Linked DNA regions of Schizosaccharomyces pombe. Changing the gene in region 3 together with the main gene of any one other region gives a genetic interaction. Each region holds a gene or a part of one and is shown on either strand. Other genes may lie near its edges.

The links.
Region 1: mutations in sey1 (region 3) and ptp4 together harm fitness more than expected from each alone (negative genetic interaction), as found in Schizosaccharomyces pombe (one large-scale study listed by BioGRID).
Region 2: mutations in sey1 (region 3) and peg1 together harm fitness more than expected from each alone (negative genetic interaction), as found in Schizosaccharomyces pombe (one large-scale study listed by BioGRID).

The regions. Positions count from the first base shown.
Region 1 is NC_003423.3:1,276,318-1,280,151, forward strand, and holds ptp4 (phosphatidate cytidylyltransferase Ptp4), read left to right. Parts: upstream 1-2,027; 5' UTR 2,028-2,040; coding exon 2,041-2,116; intron 2,117-2,153; coding exon 2,154-2,392; intron 2,393-2,714; coding exon 2,715-3,056; 3' UTR 3,057-3,482; downstream 3,483-3,834. Other genes in the region: mitotic spindle checkpoint protein Mad1, read right to left, coding at 1-580, 631-742; ribose-phosphate pyrophosphokinase Prs5, read right to left, coding at 3,585-3,834. UniProt on the Schizosaccharomyces pombe protein: CTP-dependent diacylglycerol kinase that catalyzes the phosphorylation of diacylglycerol (DAG) to phosphatidate (PA). Controls phosphatidate levels at the nuclear envelope. Counteracts the activity of PA phosphatase ned1.
Region 2 is NC_003424.3:3,155,391-3,158,990, reverse strand, and holds the start of peg1 (CLASP family microtubule-associated protein), read left to right. Parts: upstream 1-1,658; 5' UTR 1,659-1,702; coding exon 1,703-1,751; intron 1,752-1,793; coding exon 1,794-1,861; intron 1,862-1,940; coding exon 1,941-3,600. UniProt on the Schizosaccharomyces pombe protein: Microtubule binding protein that regulates the stability of dynamic microtubules. Required for mitotic spindle formation.
Region 3 is NC_003424.3:974,917-978,750, reverse strand, and holds the start of sey1 (GTP-binding protein Sey1), read left to right. Parts: upstream 1-2,012; 5' UTR 2,013-2,017; coding exon 2,018-2,174; exon of another isoform or gene 2,175-2,216; intron 2,217-2,287; coding exon 2,288-2,362; intron 2,363-2,420; coding exon 2,421-2,506; intron 2,507-2,613; coding exon 2,614-3,834. Other genes in the region: meu13 (homologous-pairing protein 2), read right to left, coding at 114-418, 562-702, 745-846, 894-947, 994-1,042.

The DNA.
Region 1 (3,834 bases), on a different chromosome or scaffold from region 3:
CTAATTTGAAGACGTTGCTCAGCATTTATTTTTTCCAGTTCAATAGAACTAGAAACCTGCTTGATGGACTCTTCCAATTGCTGATTATGAACTGAAAGCTCTTGTAATTGCTGCTCGGCAGCCGCAAGTTCCTTACACTTCGTTTCAAGCTGTTCGCGGGAATCCGCAAAGAGTTTTTCAAGGTTTGTAAGATTGGTATCCTTCATTTGCAAAGCTTGATTTGAGACCATTACTTCATGATTCTTTTCACTTAAAGCTTGATCATTCTTTTCTATCTGGGTTTTCAACTCTGCAATCTCTTTCCATTTTGCATCAAGTAGTTCATGGATCTTCACCTGAGTGGCTTCCTTTTCATTTCTTACTTCTTCTATTTCTTTTTGATAAGAAGTAGACTGCTCCTCCAGTTGCTTTTCAACTAGAGTTAGACGCAGCTGTAACGAATTCTTCTGTTCATGTTCTTCTGCAAGTTTTCTTTGCAACTCAATTTGTTCACGCTCAAATTCCAGTTCCTTCCGCTTTAAATCATTTTTTAGGTTTTCTAGTTGAAATTCTAAAGAAGCTAGTTTGGGATTTTTTGTTTCTACAGGGTGTCAGATCCATAAACAAACGTCAAATATAAGTTTCACATACCATTAGCAGAATTAACAGAAGGCTTCTTCAAATTTGGTTTCTTAACGCTTGTTGCTAGAAATCTAGGCAACTGTGAACGCGATTGGAACGGATCCCTAGGAGAATCCGCCATGGATGTAGTCGCTTGATACACTGTCAGCTTGGAGCTCATAGTGAGAAATTGATTTTTGGTATACCTCTTTAATATAATATTGACAATATGGAGGACAAATTGCATCTCAGTAATTTATTGAAATCAGGGAATTAAAGAAAGGTAGGACTGACTGCATATGCTCAAACAACATACTTGTTTAATGATATCTAAATTAATGGAACTTATTACTTTTTCTTTTTTTTTAAATCATAGACCTTGTTATTATTATATTATATATTTAATGTGTTGAATTCCTTAATCAATTTTCGATGCACGTGTGAACATAAAAGCTTTTAAGTCTTCTAGTTTTTTTATATTGATATTATTATTATTTATTTAAATTGCTAGACCAAATCGCGTACCCTAAGGAACTTACGTAGTCTTAACATAAATTATAATAGTTTTTTTTTTTTTTTTTTTTTTTTTTTTTAATAAAACTTCAATTTGAACAATTAACCAATAACTGAAAATAAACCTGATTTTGAGCAGACTTATTATTATTAAATAAAAATTATTACTTCTAGTTCATCAACTAAAGAATAATGGTTTTCGCATTTAATTTTCAAAATTGCTTGGCAATGATATAAGCTCTAAAATGGTTTCAGTTTCTTTTAGGAATTTTATTAGCATACATATTCAAGTTATCATTTTACTTTTTAATAGAAACTTTCGCGTACTTGAGAATTGTCTTTATATTTTCAATTAATTCTCCCATATTTGACAACAAAAAGCGAAACGTAAGAGCTCACAATAGCATCTAAAGTTTCGTAAAGTAGCGAAATCCACGTTGCGCTATTCTGAAGGTTCAGTGACTTATAAATGATTCTGCATTGGCTGTATGTCGATGCAGTTATTAATTCTCTTAATATATCATCTAAAGAATATTTACATCTAAAGCCATATAGTGTATAACCCATTCGTTTTGATACTGAGTCATCCTGCGAATCACTTTCAAAGCTATGCTATTCATCTAGGAAGTCGAGCTCTTATATTGGCAGTGATAAATAAATAAATTTTTTCCAACTGATGAAGGAAATAAATCGGTTTCTTTTGGGACTCTCAGGAAGTCATTCATTCTATTAATTTTGACTTTAGCTCATAATGTTTACGGAATAAGGAGGAATAGTGCAACGATAAAAAAATAGTGAGCTATATGCGAGAACATTCCTTGCCTCGCATATACCGATTCCTTGCATCACGGCCGGTATCGCTATTTTTTTTTTACCCATTAGAAATACCTTTAGATTGGAAAACACTACTGAGCGAATACTCATCCAATGTCGACTAAATTGACGTGGTCGCAATGGTCCAAAAAGCATGAAATTCCCCGTAAAGCACTCCATACTTCTATTGGTAAGTTGTTTTTATGACTTGGATTAACCGGGTCTAGGATTTTTTGCTCTATTACTTCAGGGATGTGGATACCACGCTGCTCAAATCATACCGGTTATAGAAATTGGATTCATACCTGCATTTACTGGAGATGTAATTCGTTTTAACTGGCCAGCTTTCAGCCGCCTTTACAATCGCGTTATTGGTCCTTTGATGCGAGAGTCCGAAAAAAATGCATGGAATGGTGTTATTTTTTATATGATCGGGGTATGGATTGTTTTAAAAGTTTTTCCAGAGGTAAGTAAAAGTCATTGTAATGTCTATCATTACTGTTATTATTCTTTAAGAAAAAGGAAGATATGGTTTTCCTTGTTCCAGGCGATCCGAAGGGTTTTGTTTTTTACTGGACATACTACTCTATAGAACCCATTTTTTCACGGAGAATGATTTTCTATTCTAAGTATTTGTCAGACCAAGCATATTGTTGTTGCATAGAGTTTAAGTTAGTATTTTTGATCATGATTACTCAAATCTACTTTGCCTTGCTTGATCTTTTCCTAACTTCACCTTCCTTCTTCTTTTACTTATATATTATGCCATAGTTACTAACTAAGTTCAGGAGATAGCAGTAATGAGTGTCCTTTTACTGTCATGGTGTGACACTACTGCCTCAACCGTTGGTCGAAAATGGGGCAAGTATACCCCGAAAATTGCCAAAAATAAGAGTTTGGCTGGAAGTTTGGGCGCATTCGTTTGTGGTGTTTTTTGTTGCTATGTGTACTGGGGCTTGTTTCGTACCGGTCCTGACAGCTTGGCCGCTCAAAGCAGAATTCCTTTCCCTTGGCTTTGCTTGATAAATGGATTTATTGGTGCCTTTGCAGAAGCTATGGATGTGTGGGGTCTTGACGATAACCTTGTAATTCCTGTCGTTTCTGCCTGTTTACTATATTTAATCATGTGATAACCATGTTCTTTTATACTGACATTCTTTTGTTTTTTCCATTCGTCCTTTCCCGACCACGTTTGAAAAATTATTGAATATAGTTATGTTTTGTTGATTCGCTCCTCCATTTATCACCATTTCTATTGTTCATCTTTTTTCCGTCTAACCAGTATGCGTACATACTGTTAAAATGTATAGAAATACCTACAAGCTTCATTACCCAGACAATTTTAGGCTTTTTGTATGAAACATGACGAAATCGTGCAATTAGACTGCCTATATAGTTTCTACATAGCTTGTACATATATAATGGTCGTGAAGAACCTTATATTTAGCAGTTTTACACTAGAGATTAGCTAAGTTGAAATTAGTTTTAGGAAATTAGCTTGATAATCATTTTGTCAACTCAAAGTAAATAATAATTATTTCCAATGTAACTGTCTAAAGTTAAAGTAAAGAAAAAGGACAATTGATAGTATCAAAAAAAATCGGATAGTCTTAAGCCAACTAGATCAAAACAAATTAAATAATATGAACAACGTACAGTTAAACCCAAACTTGATTGTGGTCATACAGTATTGAAATACTCTCACCATTGTGTATGCGACGAATTGCCTCCGCAAAGGTAGGAGCGACATCGATTATGTCAAAACATCCACTTGGTGTAATAGTTTGAGGAGCGGTGTTTGTAACAATAAGCTTGTCAATGCAAGAAAGTTTTACACGCTCAATAGCATCTCCTGATAAAACACAGTGAGTGACGAGAGCATAGATTTTGCTAGCTCCATGTTCTTTG
Region 2 (3,600 bases), 2.2 Mb from region 3:
GTCGGGCGAAAGTGTTTCCTCATGCTATTTTTCCTCTTTCTCCTTTGTCTCTCTACTGTGCTTTACTCTGCCTTGCTTTGCTTTGCCCTGTTCTACCCTCTGAATTTCGATGTAAGGCGGTACAGTGTAATTCGTTGTTTTAAGAATAGAGTTGGAGAATTAATTATTCGTATTCCAAAACAATTACTAATAACTAATGATGTACAATTTTTACGATATGGTTGTTGCGTTTTGACCAGTAGTAGCGCACACAAGGATCGGCATGAGGATCGTCAGCTAAGAAGATAGTGTGTGTATTTGTGAGGGATCGCCAAAAGATAGCAAAGTGGATGGTGTTTAATGATTTTCGTTAAACTTGGTTAGGGGGTTGTGGAAAGAACGCTATTCCCTTATATGTTTGGTGTTTAGCGATTTGAGAATGAATTTGCAACAATTTGATTAGAAAGAGTTTAATCTTTATCATTGTGTTTATTTAGACAGAATGGGTTAGAAATGAATAGTGGGTTAGGTATGAAGAATTGAATGGTTCGTAGAAAGAATGCCGCATAGGTCCAAAACTTGGCAGATATTCAATTTTGAGCGATATAGAGTGGTAAATAAATGAAAAAAAATCAAATAAAAATGAAAAAAAATAAAAATAAAATTGATACCCATAATTTGAAAATGAATAACCATATAAACTAAATTTAAAATAATGAATACTAAGAGTAGAAACACAATTTCATTATCATAAATCTTTATTACAACACCATAAATCCTTCTTCCTTTTTCACAATTATTAGTAATTCAAAAATTCTTGTTCGATTAACTTTCAGCTTTGCACGTTGATTCCCACCAATTTCCTCTTTCCTCATTCACATATCTTCCAACTTGCATCTCTCCAACTTGTCCCCAAAAGACCTATGTGGGCGCCACTCTCCATATACTAACAAATCTCCTTTTTTAATACCTCCAAAGTACTATGTGGGGGCCTCAAACTGCCCTTTTCATTCCAGTATACGATTCTGTTATTGCTCCTTGTATTTTTACTTTTTGTAAATTTGGTTTAGCCATTGCTATTTTATTTAACGAGAGAAGTGCACTTTGGGATCTGTATTGCCTTGCATTGTTTATTTTCAAACTGCCAGAGGACCATAGTGTTGTTTACCGCCCATCCCAGCATTAAATATATCTTCAATCAATTCATTTTTCCGCACAGCTTAAACTTTCGTAGTAAAGTAAAGATTTACAGCTTTTAAATTTCTCCTTCAACGTTTCGCCTTTTTTATCAATCCCATATTTCAAATCTCACTCTTCATTCTCTACTACTTCCAAACCCAACCCGTACAGTAAACAGTTTTACACCTTTATATACTTCATCTATATAACAAGCACATTGATTTGCTGGTCCAACTAATTTTAGCGTTTTTAATCTTGCACTATAGATTTTTCCGGCAACATCATTCTTTCTATTATCATTTCAAACTTGTGTTTACAACACAAAAAAATTTGGACACGCTGGGGATTGAACCCAGGACGACTCGCATGCAAAGCGAGCATGCTACCACTGCATCACATGCCCAGACTTGAAATACACAATTACTTAGTAATAGATATAGCCCTCTTTTTTAAACTCCTTACTAGCGAGTTTTTAATATTCTCTTCGCAAACAACGCTTCACGTTTCTCTTGTTTCGCTCGTTTCATCAATATATTTGTAATTGATGGCGGATAAGGATGCGCAAGATTTTTTAAAGTTCCTTAAAAGTAATGGTATGAAATTCTAAAGCTTTCATCTATATACTGACAAATTAGCATCCACCGATGAAAAGACGAGATGTCTAGATACCCTTCGCTCTTTCTTTAATAAAAACAACATTCCCGTAAGTTTTTTATTTCAAGGAAGTTTATTCTTTAGTTTTCGAAAATTTCATATCATTTACTAATGCTTTTTTGCCGTAGAATGCAGATCTCGGTTTGTTCGTGGAATGCTTCAGACTTGCTTTAACTACCGTCAACCCTTTACTCCTTAGATCTTCTGTTGCATGCTTTGAAACTTTTTTACGCCGTTTACGTGCCCAATATCCTACATGGTTAAAGTTTCGCGTACCTATGCTAAAAAATCTTGTCATCGATCACATAGCCTCTCGCGATTTACAAAAGCGTGTTCTTAATATCTTAATTGACTTATGGCACTTTAACCCATCTGAAATTGAGAAGAGTCTTATACATCTTTCAACAACAAGTAAAAGTGCCGAAACCAGAATTCAGTGTTTCAAATGGTTCGTCCTTGCACATAATGCTCATCTCAGTTTTGACGTAAAATCTTTGCGTCCCGCTCTTTATATAAACCTAGAAAATGCCAACCCTTCTGTACGAGAGGAGGCGAAAGAAGTTTTGTTACTGATTTACAAAAATCTATCTACTTCAGCTAAAATGCAATTTATAACCGATGTTGAAACTACCTCGGGTCTTCGAAGGGAGATCTTACAAAGCTTAGTGGAAGAGCTGTCTCTCATATCGTCTTCCTCCGAAGTAATAATAGTTCAAAATTCAGCATCTTCGTTTCAGCCCGCACCCTTCATGACAGCCGTAGCTACTCTTTACCCTGGAGTAGAGTTGGAGAATGTAAAGCCATTGTTGGCAAATTTTTCCAAACAACTTGAACAAGATAGTGCTTCTATGCTTCCTGCCTTTGAAGGTCGTGAGACTGAACAAAATTGGTCGGTCAGGCAGGATTCAGTTTTGCGACTTCGTCAATATCTAAGGGGAAATGCATGTATTGATTATCTTCCAGAACTACTTTCAGTTCTTAAAACTCTTTTGCCTGGAATTTTGTTGGCTTTGTTGTCATTGCGTACAACTCTAAGTTCTTCTGCCATACAACTGATAAAAGAGATGGCCATCATATTAAAAAGCAACATTGATCCCTTTTTAGAACTTATTCTACCAAACCTATTAAAAGTTTGCTCAGTTACGAAAAAACTTGCATCTCAAGCCGCTAATGTAACATTTGCTGCCATTCTTGTAAATTGTGGAGTCTTGTCGCGAAATTTATCCTTTATCTCTTTAGCAGCTCATGATACAAATGCTCAACTTCGCGTTTTCTCAAGTAATTGGATTTTTATGTTGATATCCTTATCTCCCGAGTTAAAGAACCTTGCATCTTTGCAAACTAATTTGAAAGCTTTTGAAAAACTGATTTGTCGCGGACTTGCTGACTCCAATTCTCAAGTACGGGAAGTTTATCGAAAATCGTTTTGGAAGCTTTCTGAATATTTTCCTTCCGTTCAAGAAGAGTTGACTAACACTCTTGAACCTTCTGTGTTAAAACAATTACATTTGGCGAACCCTAATCGTCAAGCTGCTTCTTTTAATTTTAGTGGTCCTAAGCGTGCACCAATACGTCCTTTGTCAAATTTGCGCTCGTTCAGTAAGTCTCAAAAGGAAGAAACTTCTTCTAATTCTTCTAATTCATCCGGAACTCGAAGATTAGGTCTTCCTCAAAGAGCAACTCCTGCCTCAAGAGAGAGGGTTCTTCCATACACTCGTTCTCAGGCATTTCATTCTACTAGCTTACCACCCTCTTTACCCTCTGGTCATTCACCATCTATAGCCATAC
Region 3 (3,834 bases):
AGTTGTCTGCTAAGGTATTTATATTTAACTATGGATAATGACTTTTCTTTGAGCTATATAAATTTAATGATTAAAATGTTAAAAAGGGATCAGCTAAATTTAAAGTTAAGTTTTTAGTTTAAGTCAATTGGTCCCTCCGTTTCAAATCCCAGTTTTTCCCATAACTGCTTAGGGTTTTCCAAGGAATCAGTAATTAAATGCCATAAATCATAAAACATTTTCTTTCTGTTTGAGAATCCTTTTTTTGCAAAATCGTAGTTTTTATCAGTCTTTTGCATTGCTTCCTTGGAAATTTGTTTAACGGTACCATTTCGAAGAGATTCGAGTTTTGAGCTGGTTTCTTCAATTTCTTTATCAATGCTCTGAATTTTTTCACGAATTTCGGCTGGACTGAGTGAGTTATTTAAAGCTTGTAATTCTTTTAGAGTTAGCATAAAACAAGTGCTGTGTACGCTCAAAACAAATGAACGATACCATCAATAAAACTTTGATCTGTTTTAAATCATGCATATTATGTGAAGTATCATTCTACATTTTAAAGAATAGCATTTATTTACTGACCAATGCATTTCTCTTTGTATAGAGTTTTAACAACTGAAACCTCATCTTTTAGTTCTTGAATTTGCTTCTCCATTTCAGCCAATTCTTCAGGAGTAGCAGCTGCCAAGTCATCTTGAAGACAAACGAACACACTTTGTTTTCCTCAGTAATCGTTAGTAATCTGTTTAACTAATTTTTCAGTACCATATAGTTTCCCATGGATTAGTCCAGTGTCGCGTAGCTGCTCCAATGCTTTCTGCGCGACCTGTTTACTGACAACATTTTTCAAATTAGCACTAACGTCAGCTTTTAACAAAATTGTCAGCTTCGATTTTTTTAATGTATGTTCTTACTTGCAGAATAGGGACGATTCGTTTTTCGTAAATACTCGTAAACAAGTTTTTCAGCTGCGATTGATTAGCTGAATACCAATGCCTTTTGTCAATATTATACCTTCCTCTCCTTTAATAGGTTTCGCTTTTACTTCTTTCGCCTTAGCCATTTGCTACAATTGCGATGTGTGAGGAAAATAGTAAAAGCGCGATGTAGCATCAAACATTTATATATAATATTTACGCGTGGCGGAGACAACGCGTTTTCCCCAAGCCATTCTCCTTTGTTCTTAGCTAAACTAAGGAAGAAAATCCATGAGAAAGGATTTTAACTATTTTACGCACCTATATAAAGTACTCATAACGATGGGTTGAATTGCGCATCGTGTCAATGAAAGAAGGTTGCATAGGATAGTGAGACATTAGTACAAAGAATTCGATTCCTAAAGCTATGCTAGAAATTTTATTAAATTAAATAATTTCCAACCTTGCGAAGGGCTATATTATAGTATGTTTGTACTTTTTTAGCATATTCGGCAACGTCAAAAACACTTCACAAATTGAATGAAACCGATATCGTCGAATACTACGAAGCGCTTTTGAGAAACGTTTAAGCTACACTCTTGATTTTGCATCTAATACCTATTATTAAGTACTGTTCTCTGTAAACATACAAATCTGTTTCCTTTTTAGAAAAGCACAAATTTCCTGTCTGTAAATGCGATAAGTCTTTGAAGACCATTGTGAAAAGATTCAAAACAATGGCCGAATGACTCTTTAAAATACATTCCTTTCTTCAACTAAATCCTTGGTATTTTCTTTCTTTAAAAATCATAATTTTAACAAGAAAATATATGGAGCTAACAGACAAACATCTGAACATTCGCAGAGTAACTTAGTAAACATTAGAAAGGAAGAGCTAACGAGTGTTGTTATGCCATTGCTAGTTTACTATAGGAAAAGTATCATCTGTTTCATGATATTTATATAAACAAAATTATGCAAAACCTGTCTTTTTACAATAATTTAACTTAAATAGTTATATATTTGTTAATGAATACTGAAAATGTTGTCAGGATATATTACATCCTCGACATCACACTACCTTATATGTTTGTTAACTTGTCTTCCGCTTACACCAAAACATGAGTACTGCTTCCAATAGGGTTTCCACACAAATTGTGGATGAACATAAACAATTCAACAATGAATTACCAAAGTTTATGCAAAGCGTAGGACTGTTAGATGCTGGTTTCAACTATCATGTTGTTGCCGTTTTGGGTTCCCAATCTACTGGCAAGAGTAAGTAGATTAAAATCAACTTGAGAGTTCTATATCCAACCAATGTTATAACATCCTTTTAAATTGGATACTTAAAGCTTTCACTGAGCAAATTTGATTAACTCTATGATTAGGTACATTGCTAAATAATTTATTTGGGACTTCATTTTCAGTAATGGATGCTTCCAAAAGGCAACAAACTACTAAAGGTAAATCTATTATTTCTTTTTAATTAAAACATCTGAGCTTGCTGCTAATTTTTGTTAGGTATTTGGTTGTCGAAGGCAAACAATTCGCCTATTCTTGTAATGGATGTAGAAGGCACCGATGGTAGAGAGCGCGGTGAAGATCAGGTAAGATTTTAATGCGAACTAATTTGTTACTATTAGTTACACATTAGTATTTCCTTTACTCATAATTGATCAATATTTTCTTTTGGAGTCATTACTAACCAACCTAGGATTTTGAAAGAAAATCAGCTTTATTTTCCATTTCAACTAGTGAAGTAATTATCGTTAATATGTGGGAAAATCAGGTTGGTCTATACCAAGGCTCAAACATGGCATTACTTAAAACAGTACTAGAAGTCAATTTACAACTTTTTCATAACAAAAAAGAAAGGTGCTTGCTTCAATTTGTTATTCGGGATTTTTTGGGAAATACTTCAATGGAAAATTTAGCAGATACTATTATGACCGATTTGAATAACATTTGGGCATCCCTTTCGAAACCAGAAGGATTCGAAAATTCCGTAATTAATGACTTTTTTGATGTTGGCTTCACTGGTTTACCACATAAGATTTTATGTTCTGATGCTTTCAGTGAAGCTGTTGATAGTTTGCGTGAAAGATTTGTGGATAACAATAATTCTGATTACATATTTAATGTGAGTTATCATAAAAAAATCCCCGCTGATGGTTTTTCTCTTTATACTCGTGAGATATGGGACACCATTGAAAACAACAAGGACCTTGATTTACCTACACAACAGCAATTGCTTGCTCAATATCGTTGCGATGAGATTATTACTGAAGTAATGGAACCTTTTTCTACTGCTTGTACTATTTTACAAAAAGAGTTTTTACCCGGTAATTTATGCAAGGACCTTCCTACCAAGCTCTTAAACATGTTTGAAACTGTTATCGAAGCTTATGATCGACAGGCTAGTAGATACAACGTGCATATCTATCAAAAGAAAAAGCAGGAGCTTATTGCTTCGGTAGATTCTCATCTTTATGTATTTTTCCAAGCCCAGTTGAACGCTCTACACAAGGAGCTTATTAAATCATTTTTTGACGCCTCAAATGAATTTCCCTCTGATACGCCTTTTAAAGAATCATCTTCTATTAAAATTAACGAACTTGTCAACAAAATGCGTGAGGAAGGTGAATCTTTGTCTTTACCACATGTTCACTGGGATGTTGATCCATTTATTCTAAAATTATCGGAAGAGTTAACCCAAAATTCCGAAACGCTTTGTAAGGAAAAGTTGAAAGAGAAGTTGGAAGAGTTGTTTACTGGGTTCGAGTTTGAAGTTTCGGAAGCTGTTGAGGTCGCTTTCCAAAAACTTTCTCATAACGTTTGGGATACGCTTCTCAATGAATTCTTAGCTGCTCAAAATACTACTATTGAAAAAATAAAAAATATTGTTCCTTTTTATGTGGATATTGATGATACTAAA